Linked DNA regions of Astyanax mexicanus. The protein of the gene in region 1 purifies or fractionates together with the protein of each later gene. This does not show direct contact. Links are inferred from orthologs where the notes say so. Each region holds a gene or a part of one and is shown on either strand. Other genes may lie near its edges. The genes, in order: wdr20a, phlpp1, phlpp2 and fbxw5.

The links.
Region 2: the proteins of wdr20a (region 1) and phlpp1 purify together in Homo sapiens (affinity purification with mass spectrometry; 4 studies listed by BioGRID and IntAct, with this or other methods). This does not show direct contact. The link is inferred for Astyanax mexicanus from reciprocal best matches to the Homo sapiens genes WDR20 and PHLPP1.
Region 3: the proteins of wdr20a (region 1) and phlpp2 purify together in Homo sapiens (affinity purification with mass spectrometry; 4 studies listed by BioGRID and IntAct, with this or other methods). This does not show direct contact. The link is inferred for Astyanax mexicanus from reciprocal best matches to the Homo sapiens genes WDR20 and PHLPP2.
Region 4: the proteins of wdr20a (region 1) and fbxw5 purify together in Homo sapiens (co-immunoprecipitation; 3 studies listed by BioGRID and IntAct, counting the BioPlex papers as one, with this or other methods). This does not show direct contact. The link is inferred for Astyanax mexicanus from reciprocal best matches to the Homo sapiens genes WDR20 and FBXW5.

Annotation. Positions count from the first base shown.
Region 1 is NC_064421.1:44,984,681-44,991,743, forward strand, and holds the start of wdr20a (WD repeat-containing protein 20), read left to right. Parts: upstream 1-4,051; 5' UTR 4,052-4,061; coding exon 4,062-4,325; intron 4,326-7,063. Other genes in the region: uncharacterized protein LOC103042329, read right to left, coding at 871-942, 1,938-2,012, 2,969-3,036, 3,175-3,217. UniProt on the Homo sapiens protein: Regulator of deubiquitinating complexes. Activates deubiquitinating activity of complexes containing USP12. Anchors at the base of the ubiquitin-contacting loop of USP12 and remotely modulates the catalytic center of the enzyme.
Region 2 is NC_064415.1:8,447,751-8,454,874, reverse strand, and holds the start of phlpp1 (PH domain leucine-rich repeat-containing protein phosphatase 1), read right to left. Parts: upstream 3,025-7,124; 5' UTR 2,736-3,024; coding exon 1,163-2,735; intron 1-1,162. UniProt on the Homo sapiens protein: Protein phosphatase involved in regulation of Akt and PKC signaling.
Region 3 is NC_064423.1:38,447,805-38,454,697, reverse strand, and holds the start of phlpp2 (PH domain leucine-rich repeat-containing protein phosphatase 2), read left to right. Parts: upstream 1-3,879; 5' UTR 3,880-4,025; coding exon 4,026-4,268; intron 4,269-4,515; exon of another isoform or gene 4,516-4,714; intron 4,715-6,893. UniProt on the Homo sapiens protein: Protein phosphatase involved in regulation of Akt and PKC signaling.
Region 4 is NC_064408.1:19,868,343-19,876,161, reverse strand, and holds the start of fbxw5 (F-box/WD repeat-containing protein 5), read right to left. Parts: upstream 3,013-7,819; 5' UTR 2,909-3,012; intron 602-2,908; 5' UTR 593-601; coding exon 406-592; intron 158-405; coding exon 1-157. UniProt on the Homo sapiens protein: Substrate recognition component of both SCF (SKP1-CUL1-F-box protein) and DCX (DDB1-CUL4-X-box) E3 ubiquitin-protein ligase complexes.

The DNA.
Region 1 (7,063 bases):
TGGTAGCTCACTAGCAGGGGGTGGTGTTATGCACTGCACCACACCAACCACCCCCACCACATTGGTGGCAATAATAAAAAAATTATTATTATTTACATTAACACTTTCATAAACACAGTTCAATGTAAAACAATCACAACAAAAGACAAAAAATCTTATAAAGCAAGTAAAATCAACAGGTTAATCATGAGTCTTGGGACTTCATTGTCTGTGCTGCTCTCAGATTATCAGGAAGAGCAATATATAGACGAGGGGCAGCAGGACAAAAGGCCAGTCACCCATGGTGCTGAGCTTGAGAGGAGGGTAATTAAAAAATGACCAAAATATAATTAACAGTACCAGTCAAAAGTTTGGACACACCTTCTCATTCAATGTTTTTTTCTCTATGTCATATTTTTTACATTGTAGGTTCATCAAAACAACTAAGGGACACACGTGTAATTATGTAGTAAACAACAACAATGCCCTGATCCAAGCCTGATCAACTGAGATGGTGATTTAGGACGAGCTAGAGCTTCACAGTGTAAAGGAAAAGCCGCAACTATTGTTCAGCACCTCCAGGAACTCCTTCCTTCCTGAGAAAACTATTCCAGGTTACTCTCCCTCATGAAGACACTGAGATTAAAATACCAAGAGTGTGCAGATCTGTCCTCAAAGACAAACGTGCTACTTAGAGGAACCTTTGGTTTACAAAATAATTTAGCATGTTTAGCCTGTAGAGCTTTAATATAGCCTTCGATATTAAATTTACAATGTAAAAAATAAAAAAGGAAAGAAAACACATTGAAAAAGACGAGGTGTGTCCAAACTTTTGACTGGTACTCTAGACCTTGAACAAACTCATTCTGGTTCCAGAAATCCCCAACTCACCTGTTGATAGTGCCGTCCAAATGGCTTCTGTGGTAGAGTAGGCCTCTTAAGACCTGTTCCTCCCTGGAAAGACTAAAAACGATACATTCATTTTTACTTACAGCCTCTCTAAATTTGTTTACCAAACCATTATTTTATAATCTTTAGTCACAAATAAAACAGCAGAAATTAGCATGTGACTCAATTACGGTAGACTTCTTTTGAAATTTCTCACGTACTTCTCATGTTTCTCCTGCACTGAAAGCTGGGACCTTGATTTTTGAGTTACAGTTATCAGTTACATGTGCCTACATAGTAGATGTTTATTGTAAATTTAGCTTCTTTTAAAGGAGAAATCTGGTGTAAAATGGACTTGGGGTTTAAGTAAATAGCCCACCTTTATTCACCCCCAGCATTCTGAAATACATAGTTTTTAGCCAATGCTCCCAACAGGCTTACAGTACTAGTGACAGGGGCATGGAGTTCCCATACAAAGAAATCACTGTTTTAAGACCATAAACAAGTTCAAAGTAGCTGAAAATATCTTTATAACATTAATTTATTTCCACTGAACCAATTTTACAATTTATTACGCTATCCTACTTATTTATCAGTTGAGTTATCATAAATTTTAAGATGGCGACACCTGGAGAACTACCTGAAGGTACTGTGTGTAAAAACAGTGTTGTTTAATAAACTACCTGTGCACTTTCAAAGTTCATAGTACCTCGTTTTAGATTGCAGGAACCTCAGAATTCTACCAATGAAGTGTGGAGCTACTTTGAGCTTGTTAACGGTGTAAAAAATAGTGATTTATTTACCTGAGCAATGCTATGCTCCTATCACTAGCACTGTAAGCCTGTTGGGAGCAAAGCTCTAAAAGCTCTGTATTTGGGAATGCTGGGGACAAACGGAGCTTAGCTATTTGACAAAAAATTATATCTATATCTATAAGGTCATTTACACCAGATTTCTCCTTTAAGACACTTAGCCATTATCCTTTTTTTTATCAGAAACGTAATAAAATAAAAGAAAAGTGCATTTTTAATTGTTCCCTGTAATGGGGTGGTCACTACTGGGGTCAGTACCTTACTGCTGGCGTCGGACCATCGTGGGCTTGTGTCTGACTCAGAGTCTGAGGTTGAATCCACTTTACACATCTCCTAATACAACACACAACCAGTCAAAACACTCTAGATTTATGGAAATCTAGTATCTACGACTTAGTATCTCATAATTATGACTTAGCATCTCAAAATCATGATTTAGCATCTCATAATTATGACATAGTATCTCATAATAATCACTTAGTATCTCAAAATAATGACTTAGTATTTAATATTCATGATTTAATATCTCATTTAGCATCTCATCTCATTTAGTATCGCACAAGTATGACTTAGTTTCTAAAAACTATAACTTAGTAGCTCATAATGATCACTTAGTATCTTATAATGACTTATTATTTAATATTTATGATTTAGTATCTTAAAAAATTACATAACATCTCATAATTATGACTTAGTATCTCAATTATTACTTGGTGTTTAATAATTAAGATTTAGTATTTCATCATTATCACTAAGTATCTTAAAATAATTACTTAGCATGTCACAATTATGACTTAATTTCTAATAATTGTGACTTAGTATCTTATAATTATTACTTAGTATTTTAATGATTACTTAATATCTCATAATTATGACTTAGTATTTTATATTTATGATTTAGCATCTCATAATTATCACTTAGTAACTCACAATTATGACTTAGTATCTCATAATGATCACTTGGTTTCTCATAATCATTACTTAGTTTTTCATAATGATTATTTGGTATCTCATAATTATGACTTAGTATCTTATAATGATCACTTAGTTTCTCATAATGATTACTTAGTATCTCAAGTATGACTTAGTATTTCATATTTATGATTTAGTATTTCAATTATTACTTAGTATCTCAAAATAGTTACTTAACATGTCATGATTATGACTGTCGACTATTCTAATAGTATCTAATAATTATGGCTTACTATCTTAAAATAAGGACTTAATATCTCATAATTATGACTTATTTTCAGGTGGTAGAATTGGTTTCTATAAGAATGAAGTCCAACCATGTATTTGAATGCCAGTCTGTCCACAGTGACTGGGTCTCTCTGATCAGATCTTATGTCAGGAACACCTGTGAGTATAATCTGTATTAGTAAATGTATGAAGTCTTTAGAAGATCTCTACAACAACTTCTTTATATTTATCTTTTCTTTCTATAATAATTTAAATATTTTAAATACGTTTTCTGGCTCATGCTGAAGGCCTGTACCTGCTGCAGCATGTCCTCGGCGTCGTGGCTGTTTGCTCGGCATTGTGGTCCATGTGGGGCTGAGTGCAGCGGCTTCAGGTAAATTAAAGGTGGGTCTGAGGATCAGCGAGGTTAAACTAATGTCGCCTTCAGCGCCCTAGCTCATCCCCTGTTACTGCGCACCACGGGTACGACTAAATTAATATAAACACTCTGATAAAACACAAGAGAGTAACAGCAGTTTTACTGACACGCCCCCAGCACTGAAAGTTTATTTTCAAAAACAGGTAACTTAAAAATAATTATTTTTGTGAGGTTCTTATGCGCTTACAATATGTATATATATTGATTATAAATCATGAGGAAGATGGATTATCACAAGCCATCAAACCAAGCTGAACTGCTTGAATTTTTGCTCCAGGAGTGGCACAAAGTCATCCAAAAGCAGTGTGTAAGACTGGTGGAGGAGAACATGCCAAGATGCATTTTTTTTTTTGCATTATTTGAGGTTTGAAAGCTCTGCATCTTTTTTATTTTTTTTTGTATTTTGACCAGTTCCTTCTGCAAATAAATGCTCTAAATGACAATATTTTATATGGAATTTGGGAGAAATGTTGTCCATAGTTTACAGAATAAAATACCATTGTTTATTTTACTCAAACATATAATGTTACCTATAAATAGCAAAATCAGAGAAACTGATTTGTGCCACAGATAAATATTTATGTCACTTTCTTTACAATATTATTATTATGATGTTAGTATTTTTAGTATTTTATATTTTTTTAATGCTCTTTATAAGTGGCGTAAGGATTATAAAATTCCCTTAAAACCGACTGACCGCAGTAGCCTGTGTGTTCGGTACTGCGCATGTGCGGCGCGTAAGATCCGGGCTTGGGCCAGGATGAATGCAAATTTCAAAGATGGCGGCGGAGGGAGGAGGGAAGGAGATGAACGAGATCAAAACTCAGTTCACGACCAGAGAAGGCGCGTACAAACTCCTCACGCACTCCGAGTACAGCCGCCCCAACCGGGTGCCTTTCAATTCGCAGGGCTCCAACCCCGTCAAGGTCTCGTTTGTCAACGTAAACGACCAGTCCGGCAACGGCGACCGAATCTGCTTCAATGTGGGCCGGGAGCTGTATTTCTACATCTACAAAGGCGTCCGAAAGGTAAACAGCGCCGCAGCTCTCGCTCTTTTCTCCCTCACGCGCGCAGTTAAAGTGTCAGGTTGCAGTTCGCTGAAGGCGAAAGTTGATGGAAGTCCGGAGAAGTCTGGAGGTCGTTGTTTGGCTGCTTTCCCTCGGCGTTTTTACGTGGACTGCTTGCTAACGTTAGCTTGCCTTGGCTAATTTAGCTCTTGGAGCCAGCCGACCGACAAGCTGTCAGTTTGGGCCTAACGTCAGGTACACCTGTCATGGGCACCGCTGGACCAACACTCTCCGCTCCTTCTGTACCCTTACGAGTCTCCTCAAACCCCTGCCTGCTTTTAAAGCGAACTAGCCTTGCTAATTTAGGCGTAACTAATAATTACGCACTCGTCGTGTAGGGATTAACATTAGCAGCGCGATCATGTTGGCACAGAGCTATAGCAGGGTCGTCCACTGTGAGCTAGGCTAGCTAGCGTTAGTTTGGTTAGCTTGGCTTCAACTTGTTTCAGACGAATGAATCAGCTGCGATGGAGAGCTCAGAGCTCCAGATCGCCCATTTTTCTTCATAAACTCGTGAGAGCTGTGTGTCACGCTGGTGACTGCTTGTTTATCAGGCAGATAGTTAGTTAGTTAACTTGTGTATGAGTGTGTGTGTGCGTACTTAGAGACAGAGCAATAACGTTAGCTAGCTAACTATGTTTAAAAGTCCGGGATATGGTCCTTTTAATGTTGTTTTCCAGAGTAACCAGGTATGCCTAAGTGTGAAATGATAAGGCTCTGTGTTGTATAACTGTTGTTTTGATATTTTTGAAACAGGCTAATCTCGTTGGTCTCGTTGTTTCTGCATTTTTATGTGGATTATCTATAGTTTGAGTTTCAGGTGTTGTTGAGTGTGCTAGCTAGCGTTAGCTGCGTGAGCCAGCTACTCGTTACTGGTAGACGTTATCTAACTTAGCTAAGTAAGTAGTTCGTTTGAAAACAAACGGGGAGGACGGATAATGTTGCATCATATGTTTGCAATTTTTCAGGTTTCATCAGTAATTATCAGTTTAAATAAAAAATAAATAAAAAAAAAAGTTGCAAGTGTTTTTAACATGTTTTGGTTGGATACAGATACACTTATTTACAGTGGGGGGCCGGATACGGAAGTTGTTATACTATTAGTCCCTTTATAAAGATTTACAGTCAGATGTAATGCTATAGGAATTAGGGGTGGGCGATACGGCACTAAAATAATATCACGATATTTCATGGTATCATCACGATAACGATACTCTTGAATATATGACGAAATACTGAATTTAAAAAATGATTTCAAGAATACAGACTACTGCATCAAAATGAATATAAAATGTTCTTATTGCATATGATATGTAATGGCACACCCCTAACTGAGATATTGAAAAATACAAGAAGTTTATCAGATTTGTAACAGAAGTCAATGATCCAGAATGTCATGGCACTAATATTGCGCTCTACATATATCCAGTATTAAATAAAAAAAATGAATGATACTGGACAGATATAATCTGTCTCTAGTAGATATACAATGGGAAATGAGAACAGTGTTAATTTTTCTTTTGCTTCTGGTTAATACAGTGTTCTTGCTGAGAAGGACATTTCAAAAGGATTTAGACAGAGGAAAACAACAAGAGTTCCAGGCAGTGAACTAAAGTGTTTACTAGCTTATTTAGCTATTAATTGTGATGCAGAAACTGTTTGCAACATTATGCAATTACATGGCAAGCAGTGGTTTATATTTGTTTGTTATATCAACAGGGACCCCTAGTACCTGCTACATTTTGGGGTGTATTATCAGTCATTTGTGTATACCAGTCTTAGTTCAATTTGAGAATCACTGTTTCTGCATGATTGCCTTAGGAAGTTATAAATGAACATAAATTATGCTGTCCTGAGACAACGAAAGAAATGTATATTTTTTAGTAAGTAAATTAAATCAAATCTGAATAGCCATATCTACTTTTTACATTTACATGTTTTTTTTTTTATATATATGAAATGTAAAAAAAAGAAAAATATATATATATTTATGTTTCTATATGCAATATATAGAACTGTTAACCCCATTTATTCCCCAACTTGACATGTAAAGGAAAATGTCTGATGATAAAAAATAAAGGAGTGATCTATTAATCCAAAACATTTGTTTGTTGCCTCAGGGCAGCATCATGCCATAGAGGGTTAAGGACTGCGCTTGTGATTTGATTAGGCGTTTATAATCAGTTCATTTATACCAGAAGAATTCATGTGACACTGAAAGCTTTATATTTCACTCGGGGGCAGTGACTCATTTGTTTAAAAAAAATATATGCAAGAGTACGAAACTTGATTTGCATTTTCTAAAGGTTTGTGTGTGTGTGTGTGTGTGTGTGTGTGATTGTGTGTGTTTGGCAGGTTCTAAAAACATTTGGCTGTAAGTTAAAGGGGGAAGAGATGGCTGTGTGTATATATGTGTGTATGTGTATGATAGGACTGTAGGGATAACATTTGAAGATACATTATAACAGAAAACAATATCATAATTAAAATGTTTCATCATACATATAATATTAATACAATAGGACTGTCACGATAAGTAAGCTATTAATTCGACATGCAGTAAGGTCTGTCACAACTACATTATCGACTTATCGTTCAATAAATGGACATGACCTCAATCATTTGAATAATTGTGATATTGTCCTTTTATATTGGGACTGGGTGTGGCTGCTCCTTGTATTAGGAAAAATGCATTCTAT
Region 2 (7,124 bases), on another chromosome or scaffold:
AGATACAAATGAAAATAAATAAATAAATAAATAAATAAATACATAAATACATAAATAAAAAAGTCAGTGGAATTAACACTGATCAATACTTAATACCATCATACATATTTATCATCTTGTTCTAATATTGTATTCATCATAATATACTTAATATAAAAAGAAGATTGGTATGTTTCCTTACATTTGATTTAAGCTTTGTTTGTGTAGGATATTAATTCATATTGCTCATATTGTGATTCCAATGTTTCAATATTCTCAATTAATAAGGACTCCCCTTATTATGCTACTATGTTATTGAATTAGAGGAATAAATTATTAGTTTGTAAAAGTACAATAGTGTTGTATATTACAATATATCATCCAAACAAAAACAGTTAACTAAAAAAATATAATAAATCACATATATAGGTTAAAATATGATAACATTCTACTTTAAAACAATATTTTAAGCATCAGACATAATTTTCACAGTTTCTTATTCGTCTGATTCGTCTGACTCTACACAATTCTAAATCTCCCAGTTTCTCCAGAACAGAGAGTTTGACACTAAAGCGCTCAGGATGAGTTTGTTTACATCGTAAAGCTTTAATTAGGGAGAAAGTCTGAATAATGGATGAAATTCCCCTTTAAGTCGTTGTGGAGGTGAATCGGATGTGCAGTGCAGGTGGTTTACAGTACAGGCTGCCAGAATAGAGGTCCTGAAGCGACCCTAGCACAATCAGCACATTAACAACAACCACCAATGCCCTACATACACAGACTCTCACTGAGATGCCCACTGAACTTCTGGTGCAACAGGAAGACGTTGTTTCATCACAGATCCAAGGTGCTTCCCCTGATTAAGATGAACTGAGGTTAAACTGAGGTTAAACTACAGATACAGCAAGGTAAATTCCTGTCAAGTCATGTCCAGCTGCCTGGCCTGGATGAGTGAAGGAACATCTTCAAGGCTGCACCAAAAGTCCAGTACAGTCACCTTGCTTCACCACTACCTGCTTTTTCAAAGACCTGCATGTATAAAAACATTTCTGAGTGGCCCACTTGTTATCTAGGCTCAGGTATAGTAGCAGGTTACTCCTAATTCGTCCTCATCCTCAGGGACCCCCAAGAAAAGCACTTCTTTTCACATTTAAAAGCAAAAGTGACCTCCAGCTTTCTTTACCTGCATAGAAGCGAAGCAGTGATCCCAGCTCTGTATTCATGCCCTCTTCCTGCACCCTCCATGGGTCCTTAAATCCCAGTTTGAAGAGGAAGTCGTTCTGGATCTGCAGAGGCCTCTCATCTCGTGCCAGACGCCGGGCTGCCTCGCCATGAAGCTGCACGTAGAGCGCCGGCGAGGTGTCGTGACCCTCAGCCTCCTGGGTCTCCTGGTTCTCCTGGGCCTCCTGGTTCTCCGGAGCCTCGGGCTGCAAACAAAGGTGCTGGGAGTGACCCGGAGAGCCCGGATTAGAGCCAGGTGTGACAGGTGCCGGGCTCAGAGGCTCCAGCCTGTTCCCGTTCATGTCTGTTCCGTCTGTTATAACAGACGACTCTTGGGTCACCTGGTGGCCACCTGGGCCATCACCAGGTACAGGGCCATCAAGCTCCAGCTCGTCTGAGGAGCTTCCATAAGCATCCGGGCCCTCAAACGGTGGGCTGAGTACAGACGCATCGGTGCCCAGGATCATATCGTCGCTTAAAGAGTCTCTATGCTCGGTCAGCCGTGACCCCAAGCTCTGCACCGACCCCTCGCTGTTCCCGTTCGGCGTCAAGGGGCTGGCTGAGATGGACACCTCAGGAGAGTAAAGGCTGAAGTCGTCAGAACGTCCACTTCCTTCATCCTTCTCGAACAAGAAAAGTCTGAGTCTGTCATTTTGTCTATCATTTTGTCTGTCACTTTCCGGCCTCAGGTGCTCAAACCGAGCCGGGGCCAAGTCAGGGCCTTCCGCGAGAGGCCGCCCACTTCCTATAACGCGAACCACACACCCTACCTTGCCACCGGTGGTTTGACCAAGGCGCTGGGCGATCTCGCCCGCCGTGGTCTCCAAAGTGCACAGAACAGGCCGAGGGCTTGAGCGGTCCCACGACCTGTCGTGAACGTGTATGGCACCTCTGTGGAGGTCAGCTCGGACCCACTGCCGGTCAGAGGCCTGGAGCTGGACCACTGCGGCCTGCCGGTGCCTCAGCAGGGCCTTCCTGTCCAGGCTGCGCGTGTGCAAGGAGGAGGAGGATGAAGATGAGGAGGAAGACGAGGAGGAGGATGATGAGGGCACAGCAGCTGAGCTCAGCTTGGCAGAAGCAGAAGCGGCGGACAGATTTCTCTTGAGTCGCCGCCTTTTGAGCAGAAGGGAACTTGAACTGGAGCCGGTACTGGTACTAGTACTGGTACTTGTACCAGTACTTGGAGTCACTCGGCCATTCTTGGCAGCTTTTATGGTGGTTCTGTTGGGCTCTGATAATGGAGAGCGCTGGCCACCCTTCAGGGCATCCATGCGGGAGATCTCGGGTTTGGGTTCCACACCACTGGCACTGGTACTGATACTGGTACTTCCACTGTTACTGGCGCTGGCACTTGCAATGCCGCCGCCACCACCACCACTGACACCGCCACCACCCCCACCGTCGTCCACCCCAGAAGCTCCAGACGGGCCTCCAGGCTTCTTCAGCTTGCTGATCTCAGTACTGCTGGGTTTCCACGAACCTCCCGTGTTAGAGCCGCTCTCCGCCGGCCTGAATGCTGCCCGCGCACTTTCCATCTCCGCCAGCCGTGCAGAAAAACAGCGGCGGCGGCGGCAGCAGCGGCCACAACAACGCCACAAGTAGACGCGCCGCCTCCCGCTCAGCTACAGGACGCGCACCGCTGCTGTCCGGAGGAGCAGTCCGCCGTCTGAGCGGCGCCAGGCAGGTCGCTGCACATCCAGGTCCCGCCGCGTCCCGGCTCCCTCCCCGCCGCGGTAAACGGCCTCGGCTACTTCTGCTGTTGTCAAATCATGGAGACTTAACGGGGCAGCGGCGCGATCAACCGGAGGGGCGGAGCCGCTCCACAGAGTACACTCTCCATCCAGGGAGAGAGCGGGGCGCGTCCCAATCCGCGCACACTCGCGCCTAGCGCACTACGCTAACCGGAAACACACTACTTAGGGCGCTACTATGTTTTTTTTAAGACACTTAAACCAAACTTTAACTGTTTTAACCTGATAGATTATTTAAAAACATTTATTATCTAATAAAGCTATTTTTTTCTATTCATATCACAAAAAACATAAAAATAATAAATAATATTGTAATAAACAATAATATAAATATATGATTATAGTCATGTGCATTAGTAATTTAGGCTAAAATAAATGCAAATAAAATAAGACTTATTTTATAAGATTTATTATTAAAGTAGTGAATATAGTAGTAATAGTGAAATAAATTAAACATAGCCTACTATTATTAGAATAACGATTCTATTAAGTAAATGCTTTACAATACATTTACAATGTTTTTTATGTATTGAAAGACAAAAAAGAGACATAATATTGTTACAAAGTATATAAATAAATTATTTCAGAAATGTACATTAGTATTCTCAAATAAATACATATCAAAATAAGACTTATTTGTAAGATGTATTGTTTACTTTTGTAAATAAAAAAAAAACATAAAAAAATTGGGTAATAGTAATTTGGGTAGATTACTACCTGTAAATATTGGGTGTTTTATGTATTGGAAGACAATATAAAGATATATAAAAATAAATAATATTGTTAAATAAGAATATTGTTATGATTTCAGAAACATAAAAAACATTAAGAAACTCAAAAATAAAGCCTAAGATGTGCTTTATTGTTATTATGTCATCAAAATAATTATATTAGTATGAGTATATTAAGTATATTAGTATGACTGACAAATAATTGACTACATTCAAATATTTTCTAGCTCTACATCTTTTTAAAAACCTTTTAAAGGATATTAGACATTGTCATAATGTGATAAACAAAAAGTAATGTATGTATATGTTATGCATATATTGTGTATATAACATATGTAGGCTATACATGTCTCTAAATATTTAAATACGTATTTGATTTGCTCTGCATTATTATTTTTATAATATATAATTTGTGTTTAAAAATGATTAACACAATTAATATGCACAACTGGCTTGTATGTAAAAAAAAAAAAAGTCAAGGGAAAAAAAGAAAAATGTATCCTTAATGTTTATCAATAATATTAAATAGTTTATTAAAATACTTAAATAAAAATATTTAACCTTTTCTTTTTAAACAGTATCTAGCTAATTCAAACATTCAATTACATAAAACGATGATAAAAGCCCCAAAAACTCGATTAATTGCCATAAAACTGTGTATGTTTGTGTTTAAGCCGCTGCTAGAGCACTAAACACTAGTTACACACTATATATGGATCCTCACTAGTGCACGGAGACGCGGATTAGACGCGTCCACGCAAACATCCGACGCTCTGACGCAAACACGTAGCTTTGCATATTCATGAGGGAACTCCGTAACGGCGCGAGCTGCACACTTTTCATTTTGCTGATGGGAAATGTAGTTTTCTTTAGAGCAAGCGCGCTAACACTTCTTAGGAAGCGTGCGCTTATTTAAACTACATTTCCCATGATGCACTGCGCAGGGACAGCGACAGCGCGAGACCGTCCATTTCATTAGGCGGGATGTGCGTAGCTGTCTGGTGTTGATAGTTTTTGGGGTTTAAATCGTTTTTTTTAAAACGATTTAACGCTTTTTATAGCGATATAAAGCAGTGTGAGTGATAAATACAGCATAAAATAGTTTTCGTCTATATTTTTTAAATCGATAATCATGTAAAAATTATGGTTACGAGGGTTGAATTTTTGTATATTTTAGTTTATTTAATTTAAAAATAATATAAAGTTGTTTTATTAGTATTATACAGTGTGTTTTATCTGTTTAAATATCTGTAAAGGAGGATATTTGGAGTGTAGCGGCTAAAAATAGATTCGCCATCTTGTAGAGTAAAGTTTAGACCTCACTAAGAGGTAAAGAGCGCCATCTAGAGCTCAACAGAGAACACTACTGTTTCTACTGAAATCAAGGGTTTGTACAGGTGAAGAGTTTGTAAGGTAAGTTCTAGGCATGATGGGTCAGTGTAACGTTTAGCAGTTTATTTTCTGACTGTGTCAAGCTAAATTCGAAAATAGAAAAATTGGTATAAAACTATAAGCAAAAAATATATAATATATATATTTTCCATTCTGTAGAGTAAAAAAGAAATGGGTTTTCATCCAATTTTTCAATTATATAGTTTTTTTTTTATTTCAGCCTTTGGAAAACAAAGTTTCAAGAAAAAAATCTTCTCTCGATTTTCATCTTGTAACAAATACATGTCTTTAATTCTTGCAAAAGGCAAAATTAAAAGCTCAGAAAATAAAGAAAAGATTAATTTTATATTTTTTCTTGAAAATCCAATTGTGAAGAGCATTTATCATTTAGAGCATTTATTTGGCTCTATTTTAGAAATGGCTAAAATAACAAGATCCAATATTTGGTGGAATAACCCTGGTTTTTAATCACAGTTTTCATGCATCTTGGCATCATGTTCTCCTCCACCAGTCTTACACACTGCTTTTTGATAACTTTATGCCTTTACTCCTGGTGCAAAAATTCAAGCAGTTCATTTAATAGTTTGATGGCTTGTGATCATCCATCTTCCTCTTGATTATATTCCAGAGGTTTTCAATTTGGTAAAATAAAAAAAAAAAAACATCATCATTAAGTGGTCTCTTATTTGTGTATGTTTGGAAAGCCATGTCATCTGCTGGTGTTGATCCACTGTGTTTTATTATCAAGTCTAAAGTCAGTGCAGTTTTGTTTTCCCACAAAATCTTACAGCACTTCATGCTTCCCTTTGCTACTGACAACTTTTATGGAGATGCGGATTTCATTTTCCAGCAGGACTTGGCACACTGCCCACACTGCAAAAAGTATTAATTGGTCTTATATAATATTCTTAATTGCTGAGTCACTGATTTTTGGATTTTCATTGGCTGTAAGCCATAAACATCAGCAATAAAATAAATAAAAACTTAAAATAGGTCACTATGTGTTTAATACATCTATATAATATATGAGTTTCACATTTTGAACTAAATGATTGAAATTAAGTAACTTTTCAATGATATTCTATTTTTTTAATGCACTAGTAGATTATCATACTCCAGCACGGTACTGTAATAGCAATGTGTAAATTGAGCATTACGTGTTACCTCAGGGAATGGTTGGCTTGGGAATGCCTACATCTGTATAAGTTGTGAGGTGTTACCTTGTGAGGGAAGCAGTGGAGTAAATAAGGCTACTCAGGCTGAGGTTTTGGTCATGGCGTTTAATGAAGATAAAGCAATCATTTGAACACTGGAAGCTGAATCATCTCCCAGCCAAAAAATAAAAGGGTGCGCACACACACTCACACACTCGTCACACACACATACTTATCACACACAGAACACACTCACTCACTCCTCCTCCAGACGTGTGTATGAAAAAGAGAAACACTTCTTTATTGCTGAATAATTCACACATCTGGCCCAGCCTGTCCAAACCGAGGACAGGACCAATAGTTTGTAGATGTTTCAATTTTAAAAGGTTTGTTTTAAAAAGGGTGTTTTAATGTGATAAATGAATGTGGTAAAGTCTAAATCTGGATCTGTGCCGTCTGTGCATACATAAAAAAAAAAACATGGAGAAAAATAAAATACTGTTATAGAATTATATGAAGTTCAATACTTTCTGTTGAGTCTGTCTTTTGACCTGAATCCTTACCAACTACTATAGTTCTATATATCCTTAATATTACAATGTATTATCTATTTAAATACTTTAATGGCTTTTGAAATACAAGATTAACCTGTTGTAGAAGGTATACAATATATAGTAGGGTCAGTTTCCAAAACAGTTTCCAAAAGGGATTAAGTCTAGTCCAAGAATATCATTAAAAAAGTTACTTTATTTCAGTAATTCAATTTAAAATATGAAACTCATATATTATATAGATGTATTAAACACAGTGATCTATTTTAAGCATTTATTTGTTTTATTGTTGATGGTTATGGATTACAGCCAATGAAAACCCAAAAATCAGTGTCTCAGAAAATT
Region 3 (6,893 bases), on another chromosome or scaffold:
TTATATCAGTACGTGATGAACTGCTGAGTCTGTGATAAGACAGATATGATAAAGTATAGAGCCATTGTGTGTTTCAGTAAAATACTGAGTCATTATGCACTGATGTCATGTTTAAAGGTTTGTGCTTTTCCATCTTAGTGACAGCATCCACTCTCACGTGCCTCACAGGGAGGATGTAGAAATAGCTTGGAGGAATGGAGTAATGCTGCAGTCTGTGTCACAGGTGAAATCACAGTATTTCTTACTGTTTTTCATGGAGTTTAGTAAAACACTCAGTATTCTGTAAGTGCCCTATATCATTAAAATAGCTTAACTAAATAAAATACGAAGAAAAATAATATTTTGTATTACAATTCTGACTAAATCCCTCTGCTAGTAGGTTTGAAATTGAGTTTCTTGTGTACTCAGTATAAAAAACTGGGCTTAAAAACCCTATATGGATAAAGGTTGTGGGATGCCTATTAATTTATTGATTTTTTCTGAAATCAAGGGTATTAAAAACAAGTCTGTCATCTTGTTGTGTCCCGGGGATGTCTTTCTTCTAGATTTTTGAAGCACTGCTGTGAGGATTTGGTTGCATTTAGCAATTCATCGCATTCAAGCATTGGATGGAGCTCCATCATTCCATAAAACCTTTTATCTAGCCCACACGTTCCATTAGATTAAGCAAGGCACCAATAGGTTCATTGTATTTATCTATTTTAGGGACTAGATAAGCTGTGTGTACAGTGGTTAAAAAAAAGTTTGGGCAACCCTGATAACTTTTATTATTTTTCTTTATAAATCATTGGTTGTTCAGATCAGTAATTTCAGTTGAATATATCATAAAGCAAACGAACACAGTGATATTTGAGAAGTAAAATGAAGTTTATAGGATTTACAGGAAGTGTGCAATAATTCTTTGAAAACAAAATTAAGCAGGTACATAAATGCAGGCACCCTTATGGTCAAAAATACCTTCAACCAGAAGCCAGCCCTCATTGGAAGCTATAAGAAGAGTTTAGAGGCTGTTATTTATGCAAAAGGAGGATCTACTAAATATTGATTTGATGTATTTTCTGTTGGGGTCCCCACATTTATGCACCTGCCTATTTTAGTTTAAAGGATTATTACACACTTTCTGTAAACCCTATAAACTTAATTTCGCTTCTCAAATATCACTGTGTTCATCTGCTATATGATATATTTAACTGAAATTTCTAATCTGAACAACCAATGATTTATAAAGGAAAATCATTATCAAAATGATCAGGGGTGCCCAAACTTTTTCAGACCACTGTCTATGTGTGCATTAGGACGTCTATGTGTCAGCAGTAGGTGCATTCACAAACATATATTTGAACATGTAGCATATTTAGGGTTACTTTAAATATATAATTCTTAATAAAGATAAATAATGACATTACCTTAAATAAAAAAGTGTATGTTTGTTGTTCTCCATATAGACTTAAAATGGATTTAAAATACACACATTTTCCTCAAGTAAACTCTGTCCACTGGCCACAATACCTGTCAAAAGTTAGGACACATCTTCATCAGCTGAACTAGTCAAGAGTTAATTACTTGAATTTCTTGTCTCATAATAAAGTGTTTGAGAGCATCAGTTAAAGTAAAGTAGTGCAGAGGTAGAGTTACAGGTATACAGTGAATAGGGAATATTTGAGTAATGTTCTAATCCAGATTATGAGAAGCAAGAACTACTCAACTAAGTAAAGAAAAAAAAGACAGCAAAAAAACATTAATAACGTTAGGATGAAACTGGCACTCATCAGGACCGCCCCAGGAAAGGAAGCGCAAAAGATTCCTTTGTTGCACAGGATAAGTTCTTTAGAGTTACCACCTATGGAAACCGCAACTTAACAGCTCCCCAGATAAGAGCACCTAAATGCTTCTTCACAGGGTATTTTAGTTTGTTTAACACTTTTAATTTACTACATGATTCCTTCATAGCCTGGATTGGACAGTTTTTACTACCCAATCGTAAAGTCTCTACTCTGAATCTGTGTTGTTGTGTGTTGGCTTACCTTGTGGGTCTTTGTTTAAGGTCTGTTTTTTCTATATATAGATAAGCACCCATTACATAGTGCATATGGCCTGTCACCTCTACTTAGTTGGGCTGGTACAAAAAAGGTTAAATATTAAACATTAGAGGCATTTTATTTATCTTTAACACGTGGTTTGACAAGTGTGTGTGAGACATATGAAGTGACCATGTTCAGGACTGTTTAAATTTGAACTTTAAAACCATATATAAACTTTGTTAAGCCTATATTATCAAGGTGAACTTGCTCTTTGATAAGAATGAGACACGCCCATGAAATACAAAACTAAGCATATTGACTTTGTGATGATCTTTGTGATGCATGACATCAAACTGAATGTATATTTTATGATAAAATCTTTTACAGCTATATACATAAGTGTGACGTCTTATAAAACTAGCCTCTATTACTTTTTGTTATATGTAAATTATTATACATTACATGTCCAGTTGTCCTGTAGAGTAGAAGTACTAATAGATTAGGACTGATAACCACCCTGTTTTAGTATTGAAAGTGGTACTTAGAAGAATCTAATGTATAAAACATATTCTCATTTGTTTAACCCCCTTTTTATGTTGTTGTTCACAAAATAATTCCATGTGCCATATCGTATCATACGCAAAAATAGTGCAAATTTTTGAACATATAAAAAAATACCTCCATATTGTGATATTGTAATATTCTTTGAAGCTGTCTATTTTGTATTTGTTTTCTTATTTACTGTATTTATTTTTAATTGTTTGTTTGCAGTTTATCCACAGGCACTAAATATACTTTTGTTTACTGGTACCAACAGCAGCAGATTACATGACTCTCCAAACCATCACTAACCATCAGCAAATTTTACATTTCATTTGGAAATAAAGTAGTAGTGTGAAGTTTCCACAATCAGTGATGGTTTGGAGAGACATGTCATCTGCTGGTGTTGATCCACTGTGTTTTATTATTAGGTCTAAAATCAGTGCAGTTTTGTTTTCACGCAAAATCTTACAGCACTTCATGTTTCCCTCTGCTGACAACTTTTATGGAGATGAGGATTTCATTTTCCAGCAGGACTTGGTACACTGCCCACATTGCCAAAAGTAGAATTTGTCTTAAATAATATTCTAATTTTTTTGAGATACTAATTTTGGGGTTTTTAATGCCTGTAAGACAAAATAATCCACAATAAACTAAATATGCGCTTAAAATAGATCACTCTGTGTGTAATACATTTATTATAATATAAGAGTTTCACATTTTGAACTGAATTACTGAAATAAGGCAAATTTTCTAATTTTGAGATGTAGATTGTTTTGTTGTTCTGTAATTACATTAAGCTATTTTTCCTACAATTTATTTTTTTGTTTACTATTATTTTATATAAAATTAAAGTCTCGGTAAGTTACTTTTTATGAAATAGACAAATGTTTATAGATTGTACATAGAAACGTTTAGATTTATGCTGAATAAAATGAAAACAAACATATTTTTGCAGTAGTATTTTCTTGAAATTAATAAAAATGTATAATATGTACAAAAAAATAATTAATAGCAAAAATACTATTTTATAAAAAAAATATTATTTGGGGGCAATATCGCCAACCTGTAGTTCCTGTATAGCTTTTAATTCCTGGCCAAAAAATATTGTATTCAAAAAGAAAAAAAACATGAATCATAAAAAGAGATAAAAACACAAGATTTTTTATATATTTCCTATCATTTGTCACGAAGCACCTGTTTTGGGCGTTCCTGTTCTCATGAATAATTCATTAAATCCGAAGCCCAGGAATGGGCAGTGCCTCATGAATAATAATTAGCCCCGCCCTCTACTGTTTATTGAGCGCGGATCTGACAGCCGTGCGATTCGGTCCCATTATGGCGTCTCACCGAATCAGGATGGGCTTTTTCCGCCGCCGCCTGTGCTGGAATTTACCGCTGGTCAGCTGCGACGCGACATCTGGACGTTTGGGTTGAAAACGGGACGTAAATGTAGGCGAGAGGATGAAGGACGAGGAGAACGCGGCGAGGCCGGTGCGGAATGCCGAGGCGGACGCGAAAAACGGGGCTGCTGTGGAGGACGGCGACCGGAGCGGCGCGGCGGTGGCCGTGGCGGTGACTGGATCTGCGGCGGGGGCTGGCGCTGAGGCTGCGTGGACCAAGCCGAAGCCGGGGCTTGTCGAGGGGGCGGGAGAGCGCGGCGCTGTGGCAGCCCGGGGTGGCACCACGGGGATACGGGTTTTAAAGGTAACACATCTGTGGCGTCAGTTATTTATCTCGTTAACTAGTTAGTTATGCGGTTAGTTAGCTAGCTAGCTGGGTTACCGTTACCGAGAGCTGTGAGCGAGCGGCTGCGGAGGGATGATGTTCCCGTTAACGAGGGCCGAAAGGCAACAGCCTACGTGTGTGAATAGCATCGTGAACAGCATCGAGAACGCCTCGCTCGGAACGCCATTGACCCCCTCCCTCCCTTCTCCCACCCGTCCGTCCGTTCAGCGAGAGATGATGATGATGATGATAGCTAGCTGTCTGTACCCTGACAGGAGCCGGGCTCTCCGGTTAACCGGGTTTACACCCAGCGCCCCGATCCTTCCCGCCCTTTTGCTAACTAGCTACAGCGCGCGACCAGCTAACTCACACCAACTGTCACTTTTATAACCTGTTAGCATCGTGGCTAAATCTGCACCTCTGAGGTAAATCTTTAGTTGAATCTGTGAAAGCACTATGTAGATAAAGATAAATAATCAATAATAACGAAATAATGAAAGCTGACTGCTAGATTTTAAGCTATATCGATACCTTTTTAAAGTAAGTTAAGTTAATTGTAATGTTTTTAAAAAACAGCAATGGTTTAATACAGTTAAGCATACACTTAGAAAAAAATACTATTAGCAAGTAAAATGATCTAATTTCCATGCAATAAATCTTAGTTTCTCTATGATAAAGATTTAAGCACCTGCTGAACATTTAAAGGGCATTTAAATCCCACAATCCGCTGTTTCTAGTTTGCTAGCTAGCTAAAGCGCTGGACCTGCTAACTTACACCAACTTTCACTTTTATAACCTGTTAGCATCTTGGCTAAATCTGCGCCTCTGAGGTAAACCTTTGTTAAACTGTGACAGCAGGATGTAGATAAAGATAAATAATCAATAATAACGAAATAAAGAAAGCTGACCGCTAGATTTTAAGCTATATTGACACATTTTTAAAGTAATTGCAATGATTTTTTTTTTAAAACAGCTATGGTTTAATACAGTTGAGCATACACTTAGAAAAAAAATAGTATTAGCAAGTAAAATTATCTAATTTCCATGCAATAAGTCTTATTTTCTCTATGATAAAGATTTGAGCAACTGCCGAACATTCAAAGGGCATTTAAATCCCACAATCCGCTGTTTCTAGTTTGCTAGCTAGCTAAAGCGCTGGACCTGCTAACTTACACCAACTGTCACTTTTATAACCTGTTAGCATTGTGGCTAAATCTGTATGTCTGAGGTAAATCTTTAGTTGAAACTGTGAAAGCACTATGTAGATAAAGATAAATGATCGATAATAACGAAATAATGAAAGCTGACTGTTAGATTTTAAGCATTATCAAAACTTTTCTAAAATGATCATAATGTTTTTCAATTTTTCAGGAAAAACAGATAACATATCATAGTTGTTATGGCTATGTATAAAAAACACCAGTGGTTTAATACAGTTGAGCAGTAACATTACATTTCGAAAAAAAAATAATATTAGAAAGTGAAATGATCTAAATCTATTTTTTCTATTAAAAAGATGTAGGTATAAGAGTATCAACTTGGCCTATGTCTCTAAAAGTGCCCAAATACAACAGATTCCATATTGACTCACTAATATCAGTCAGTTCCACATTTAAGCATCTTATGATCATTTAAAGGGCATTTAAATCCCATGTTTGACTGTTTGTAGTTTGTTAGCTGGCTAGCTATCTAAAGTGCATGACCAGTTAGCTTACACCAACTGTTGATTTTAGAACCTGTTAGCCTTGTGGCTAAATATGTATGTCTGAGGTTAATCTGATAAACTGTGACAGTACCAAATAAATAAAGATAAATGATTGATGATAACGAAATACAAAAAGCTGATCGCTAGATTTTAGGCTATATTGACACCTTCATAAAATAAATGTAATGTTTTTCAGATTTTCAGGTAACAAAAAAACATAGTTAACAGTTGTTATGACTATATATTAACATTTTAAGATGTTTAGTTTAGCATACAGCTGTACACAGCAAAAAAAAAAAAAAAACTTAGCAAGTAAAATTATCTAATTTCAAGGCAATATATTTTTTTTACTCTTGAGCAATTTCTGAGCATTTAACAGACATTCAGTTCACCACCAAATTCATCTGATGTAGGATTCTAGTTGAGATAGTCAGGGCCCTGTGGAAATATCCAGTTTTAAGGACGGTTTTTGCTGGTAGCAGGGTTCGGATGGTCTAAGCTGATCTTTAATAGTCAAACTGATTGAAAATCTTATTCTTCAGACAAAAACATGCACTATAGAGGTAAATTAACTTGTTAACCAGCTCTTGACCATCATAATGTGTGTTGAATTTTATTTTAGGCGTACTGATGATAATGTTTGTAGACCAGATAAACAATCAAACACTAAAGGATATATACCCTATAGTGGTCAAAATCAAGGCTGGTCAAAAAACAGCATCAGCATGACCGACTTGAGCTGTATATTCAGCAGGGGGGGCAACTCAGTATGCTTGAGGTCACACACACCACTCCTTCCACTTTCCCGTCAGAAGTCATTCTGTTCAAAGATGATAATGTTTGTAGACCAGATAAACCATTAAACACTAAAGGATATATACCCTATAGTGGTCAAAATC
Region 4 (7,819 bases), on another chromosome or scaffold:
TTGACAGTGCAGTCTTTGGAACATGACGAGAAACGGTGTCCACGGTGAGAAAAGGCCAGGTGTAGGACCTGGTCATGATGTTCCCTCAGTGTCTGTACCTCTACGCATGGGATGCAGTCATACAGCCTTTTAAATTCCCTGTACCATGACACAGCCGCTGCAGAAAAAAAAACATAGAAAAAATTATGGTCCTTAACTACATTTTTTGTTCTCTTTGATAACAGGCCTAAGCCCCATGTTCCAACTTTCGTTGACTACCTCTTTTTTTTGTTAAAAAAATTAGGATATATTCACTGCAGATCAAGCATGAATGTGTATAATAATTCATAACAATTTTAAAATAGTAATATTATCTAGAATGTTAAAATAAATGCAAAGGCAGTGCAATATTTCTATCTGCAGTACCTGGGTGGCGGGGCACAGTGCGTGGGATGCGGTAGTAGCTGTAGAAAAGCTCCCTCCACAAGAACTCATCCCGAGATACAGCAAACCACTGCCGGCATGCCAGGCCAGCCCTCAGCACCGCAGCATGGGGAAGATGCAAGAAGATCTCCAGCACCAGGCTGTCTGGCAGGCCAGGACCATTCTCCATCCTGACATCCTGAGGGAGAAGCACAAACATCATCCTCCATTAGTTTTGGCAGTATTACTTACATTCTTGGTCCTGTACAATCAGCTCTATAGACTAGAAATCAAAACAGCACCTCTACTACCTGAGAAGACTAAGAAACGTTTTGGATATTTTAGAAAAGAGATAGAGATATAGAAATATACACACACAGTTTGTCTAGCCCTGTAGAAAAGAACTGTCAACAGAATCACTCTTTGGCGCAAATAAGCATAAATCTATAGACACTATGTCTATAGCCAGGTGTGGGCTAGAAGGATATAAAGCCCCCCAGTATTGAACTGTAGATTTTTGCTCTCTCGAATGATGGTGCCCCAATAATTTTAGGAAGAGTTCAGGAGATAAGGATGTGGTGGGATGGGGTTGCGTGTTTGTAACGATCATCCAACATTCGGACCTTACTAATGTTCCTGCTGCTTAATGCAATCAAATCCTTTAAGCAATACTCCAAAATCTAGTACTAAGACTTAATTAAACAGTAGAGACATTTGATCTAAAGTTTTTTTTTTCTACAGCAATGATTAGGAAACAATTAATGTGTCCCAAAGTCCTCCCAATACATAAAAAACACTGGCACCAGCCCACGTTTCCAATCTGTTCATTCAATAAATCAATTCTGTTATAGTAAATTTAATTTTATGCAACTGCTTACTGGACAATCACTATAAAATCAAATGTATCCTGTGGCAACTAAGAAAAAACTAAGGAAGTTTAACAGGGACTGGTAGTACTATTCTAAACAGACCCATCAAGATCATTTTCTAGGTGCAACATGACCACTTGCAAACATAGAAACTTCCAGATCATTTTCTCCCTTTCTAAATAAAGCAGAGGCAAGCCATAGCTCAGTGCATACATGCAGCTGCTTACAGAAGTAGTTAACCTACTAGTTTTTGTTTTACAGAGCTACTAATCGAAGTTTTAAGAACGCTAATCTAAGTTTTAAGAAAGGTTTATATGATGTATTAAAAGGTCCTTTCTAATTAAGAATATGTTCCCTTAGCATAATAAGATATCACATAGACAGGTGGATAGAAAGACAGAGAGATACCTTTACAGCATGTTGCCTCAGTAAAAAAAAAATCTGTTACCATAATTTAACAACCAATTCCTCTAGTGCAGTGGTTCTCAAACTGTGATAAGTGTATCAGTGGTGATGTATGAAAAACACTAAGGAGCTATATACCACCAAGTAAACTTTTTAATTTATCAGCAACTGAGTATTAGATCTAGGTATTAATTTAAGTATTAGATTAGTTCTAACCTCAATTTAATCGGTTTTCTAAATCCGCAGGCTGCAGAGCATCAAGTGCAAAACTACAAGACTGAGAAACAGCTTAATTCCAGAAGCTGTAAGACTCTTAAACTCCACCTAGCCAACACACTGCACTGACACTCTACAATGACAATTACATATTTAAAATTACACTGACACTTTAACCGCACAGTGACACTTTATTATTTTAAACTGTTCTTGCAGGTTGAGTATGGGAATAGTTAAATCAAATAACAACTGACAATTTAAGGGGAATATTTTAAGACTCTAGACAACTATAAAAAATAATATTTTTAGGTAATTATACCTATATAATATCTATCTTTGGGTTTACTACATTTCTATTTAAGCTAGTAAAAGTAGTTTACTGTGATACATCTATTTTATGCAATTACTCACTGGACAATTACTATAAAATCTAATGAATCCTGTGGCAACTAAAGAAACTCATAGACTTTAACGGGCTCTGGTAGTGCTATTTTAAACAGACTCATCAATGACAATGTCTTGGTGTAACAAGTAGATTAACCACTTTTGTAAGCAGATTTACTAGCTAACTTACTAACCAACTGAGTGATGAGAAACGTACAACGTTAAACAAACTTAACTAACCCTAGATCATCTTAGCTATAAACTCCATATGGAGATTATCGCTAGTTACCAAGGTTAACGTCCTTACCTACAGGCTGAAAGCCAGATATAACTTGTATTAAAGTATATTAAAATGTAGGACAAGTGTTAGAACATAAGTATTAGCTAGTTAAACCGCGTTAACTCTTTTAACCTGCTAATTTTCAGCGTTTTGTGTGTGGAGAGAATCAGCTTTCAGTGGAACTCGCTAAAAACAGAGCTAGGCTAGCTCTAGCTGGCTAAAGGGGTAACCGCTAAAGCTAACCTGATTATGTTGGGCAGCTCATAAACAGAGATTAAAACGCGCTACAGACACAGTTCAGGATTTATACTCTTCACACAGACAGTCAGTACTCCGCTCCACCGAGTCTTACCTGTCAAACCCCAGAGTTATGGAGCAAAACGAGAAAGTGTAGCCAATATCCGAGAACACCGGCTAACCGCCTAGCTCCGCTCCCAGACCTCACCAGCCGAGCGCCAGAAAACTGATAGAAAGGTGAGTAATCAGGCAAAGACTAATCAATACCCGATCACTACGATAGATATCTGTTATCTGACACTGCGCAGTTCCGCTATATTCCATTACTCCTTCTCCTTCTCCACGGGAATAATCCAGATCATCTGGGAAAGCGAACCCACTCTTATAAAGAGGAAAACCATGCTGTGCTGATTAATAATGAGCGGTAAGTTCAGACAATATTCAGTTTACCATTCATTCCTAACCTCTCATTCTTTAGTAACTTTAATTTAAGTGATGTTTCTGTATGACATAATATATGACATATAGCTAATTACAGGTAAAAAAAAAAAAAACGCCTAAAGAATTTTACTCTGGAAGAAAAACAGGAATAAACATTCAAATGATTAAAAAAAACAAAAACACTTTTAAATAAAATATAATTTAATGTTTAAGTAATATAACTAACAAGTTACTTTCTAATGTGTTATACTAGGATTTGGCCACAAGGCAATACAGTGGAGTTTCTGAATGACATATAGCTATATCTAACTAGGTAATGTGATATGATTTAAAATGACAGCTATTAAGCTTCTCTATTTTTCTAAATATTTGTAAATTTTTAATTTGTTTACCACAAGTGCTTCTCCACAGGTAAAATAAAGTGCCTAAAGAATTTTACAATGGGAGAAAAAACAGAAATAAACATTTAGATGATTAAAAATTACTTTAAAATAATAAAAAAATAAGATAGAAATAGAAATAAAACGTAAGGTTCTCAGTGTATTATAGCTAATAGGGTGTGGCCACAAGGCAATACTCTCACTGACAAAAAGAAAACCATTTAAAATAAATTATATAATTTAATGATTCAGTAATTTAACTAAAATGTTACTTATGGTTCCTAATGTGTTATAATAGGATGTGGCCACAAGACAGTAGTGGACTCTCTGTACGAAATATAACTATATCTAATTAGGTAATGTGATATCTAGGTAATGTGATATAATAATAAAAAAAAAGCTTTACTATTTTTCCTAAATATTTGTACATTTTAAACATTTAAAAGATCACCACAAGTGGAAACTACTCCACTGTTAAAACCTAGTTAGCAGGTTAAAGTATCTATCTATCTAAAGAAAGTACCTAAATAAATTTACACTGGGGGAAAAACAGGAATAAATAATCAGATGATTAAAAAGCACTTATATAAAAATAATGAAATGATTCAGTAAAATAACTAACAAGTTACTTAAGGTACCCAATGTGTTCAAATAGGGTGTGGCCAAAAGGCAATACAGTCATTGACAATAAAAAATAAAAATAAACATAAAGATGATTAAGAAAAACACACTTTTATATAAAAAATGAATCAATGGTTCAGTAGTATAACTAAAGTTACTTTAAGTTCCCAATGTAATATAATAGGAAGTGGCCACACAAAAAAAAACACTTTTAAATAATAAATAAATCAAATTGTTTTGTGGCTTTGTTCTAAGTAAACTGCATCACCTTTCATTGTCATTTATTTATTTATTTTTCAATATATGTTTTAGATTTTTCGTTATCTGTATGTTCGGGTAGGGTTGTAAGTTAGAGGGGCATGTTTAATTCTAGTCCCTGTTAATACCCTTCTCCTGTTAAACAGTTCAATAAATATATATTTAAAAAAATAAATAAATCAATGAATCAATAATATTCTTACTTAAAACTCCTAATATGTTAAAATAGGCTGTGCCCAAAGGTAGTACACTCACTGCCTCATTAAAAAAACAGAAATAAATATAAAAATTATAAAAAACTTTCAAATAAAAAATAAATAAATGGTTCAGTTTTATAATTAGCAAGTTACCTTAGGTTCCCAATGTGTTATAATAGGGTGTGGCCACAATAGAGTGGAGTTTCCGTATGAAATATAGCTATAGCTAACTAGGTAATGGGAGATATATATATATATATATATTTCTTATAGCATTTTCGTTGTCTCTTTGTTTGGGTTGAGTTGTAAGGAAGGGGGGCATTTAAGATTTATATGTGCTATTTGGGAGAAACGGTTTAATTCTATACCCTGTTTATATTCTTCTCCTATTAAAAGTTCAATAAATATTAACATTATAAAACATTATATAAAAAAAAGAAATTAATTATTCAGTAAAATAAAAAAAAATGAATAAACTTTCAGATGAAAAAAAATGCTTTTAAATTAAAAATAAACCAAATTGGTTAGTGGCTTCATTCAATGTAAACTGCATAACTTTTATGGTCTTTTTATTTTTGGTATTATTATTAGTTTAGTTAGTTCGATATCAGTGTATTATTTTATGGCAACTACGAAGTGCATTTGTGTCCTCAATATATTATGTTGTGCCCACACATTAGGGGGCAGATATATTATTATATTATATTATTAAGGAGTTGTTACTCCATTGTAAGCTTGTCAAGTCAACTAATATGTAAAATGAATCACATGGTTATGTATGCGTTCTGCTATCAGGACTTTGCTACCTGTGGGAAAAGCTGGCTGGCTGCTGCAGACCCACAGGAAGTCCAGTCACAAACACAGGATGACACAGTAACCGTACGTATGCCAAAAACCTTACAATCACATGAACTCATATTTCCAAGTTACCCATTACTGATTCAGTGACTACGGGAAAATGACACGCATATGTGTTTTTTGACTCCTCAGAGCAGCAAGTGTTGTCAGCATGGGAAAACCCCCCGCCAAGCCAGCAATCACCACCAGCCAGTACACTGCCTGTTGTAGCGGCTCAGTGGTTTAATACCTGGTGCTAATTGAGATGTTGAAATATTTTTTAATTGGGCGCCAGTTATTAAATTAATTTAATTAGATCAATTAATTAATTAATTAATTAATTAATTAATCAAATTAATTAATAACACAAGACATCTCAGGGTGTGGTTTCTACAGGTGACAGAAATTTTCATAACCAAGTTATCCAGAAAAACACACTGAAATGACAGGTTTTGTAAAATAAAAGTATTTATTAAATCACACAGATATGAGTAAATAATTCATTAAAAAGTCATAAATGTAGCCATTAGCTATCAAATCATAGTGTAGAATGATAAATGAGAAATAAAAGAACAAACACGTTATAATGCTGATATGAAAGGAATAAAGATTAATATAACTATTAAGTGAGTATTTCTAAATAAGGGTCTAAGGCATTTTAAGTCTACGAAACCAATTCTTATTTCCAACCAAGCCACTCAAAATGAGTCATCTATACTAAAGACGCTCTATTAAAGACCCGACCAAACCATGACCAACAGACACCATCTGCCGAAAGATTAAACCCAGCTCTGCCTTACTCTGAGTTGTTGAAGTGAGCCTTGGTGACGTCCGCCTGGGTTGGTCGTCTGCTGCTTCACCCCGAAAAAGGATCACGTGAGCCTGTCTGCAGGGTGGGTGGACTTCCTGTGTCAGCACGGAGCCCCAGTAGAACCCACAGGGTAAATCCCTTCGCTCTCAGGTGGCTTGCTGGTGGCCTCCGGACCGCAGGTTTCTGGGTTGGATCTGGCGGATCTCCTTTTCAGCTGTACTTTAGCTAAACTTAGATGGAATAATGCTTGGCTTCGTAGATTGTAAAATAACCTTAGATATTTTAACTAGGATAGCTAATATTAATATACTTGAAGATTAAATGCACTAGTCTAAGAAAACTAACTTAAGATGACTAAACTAACGGTCTATCCTTTCTCCATCTCTGGCTCCCTAACCTCTCTCCTCTAACTGTTTTCCTCAACTCATCTTCTCCAACTCCTTCTCTAACTGCTTCTCCTCCAACTGCTCTGACCTGAACTCCCAAAACTCAACTGGCAACTGAACTAAAACTGTGTCTGCCCAGTTTACTATTAGTCTCTGTGGCCTGTTTGGCCCCTGAGCTATGATTGGCCCTGTGGCCCAAATGTCTGTGTTTTGATTGGTCTAGGAGCAATTTCAAACTTTGGTGGGGATTCACAAAGGGCCATAAACCCCCCCTCCTCACATGGTCAACATGCTTCAGCATTTTTCTAATAGATCAAACCAAAAGAAAACTCAATTAAACAGTGGATCAAAATACCTTTTTCAGCATATCAGTTTGTGAGGATAAATTCAGGAAACAAACAATCTTACAATTGAATCACAATAAATGTAATATATATATATTTTGCCCACAAACAGTTTTGTAATACTCAAGATAATCTTAGGAATACAATGATGGATGGTACTCTGTCAGAAAGAGATCAAGAGTCATGTTATTATTTAAACCCAATTAAATCACTTAAAAGATAATACATGGTTAAACCACTGATAACCAAATAAAGCTAAATTATCAAATGCTAGTTAAACCTTGTTGATTCAGACTTGAATGTGTAGGAGAATTTAATCAGGACACATCCAAACACATATACCATTATCTAGTAAACATTCTATAAAACACCTTTTTTATATAGTCAATATATATGTATTTTAAGCAAAATCTTCTCAGTGAGAAATTCCTCTTCTCTGCTGAGTGTTTAGATAAGCGGCTGTCGTCGGAATTTACGACCGTGGGGGAAGTTGGTGAAGTTGGTGTTGGGAATGTAATTTCCAAGCTAAGAGCATTCATTTTAACTTCATGAATCTTATTTCTAAGTGGTTGCAGAAAGCACAAACCCCTAAATTGGTATAATATATTTGGTGAATTTACAATTTCCAAGGCATTCATTAAGTTTTGAACCCTCTCTCAAGTCCCGTAGTCCCGTCCTTGTCCTGGTGATTGTGCTGTTGGCAAAACCACAATTGTGCACAGTTCCAGATGTTTAAACATTAACGGTCCTA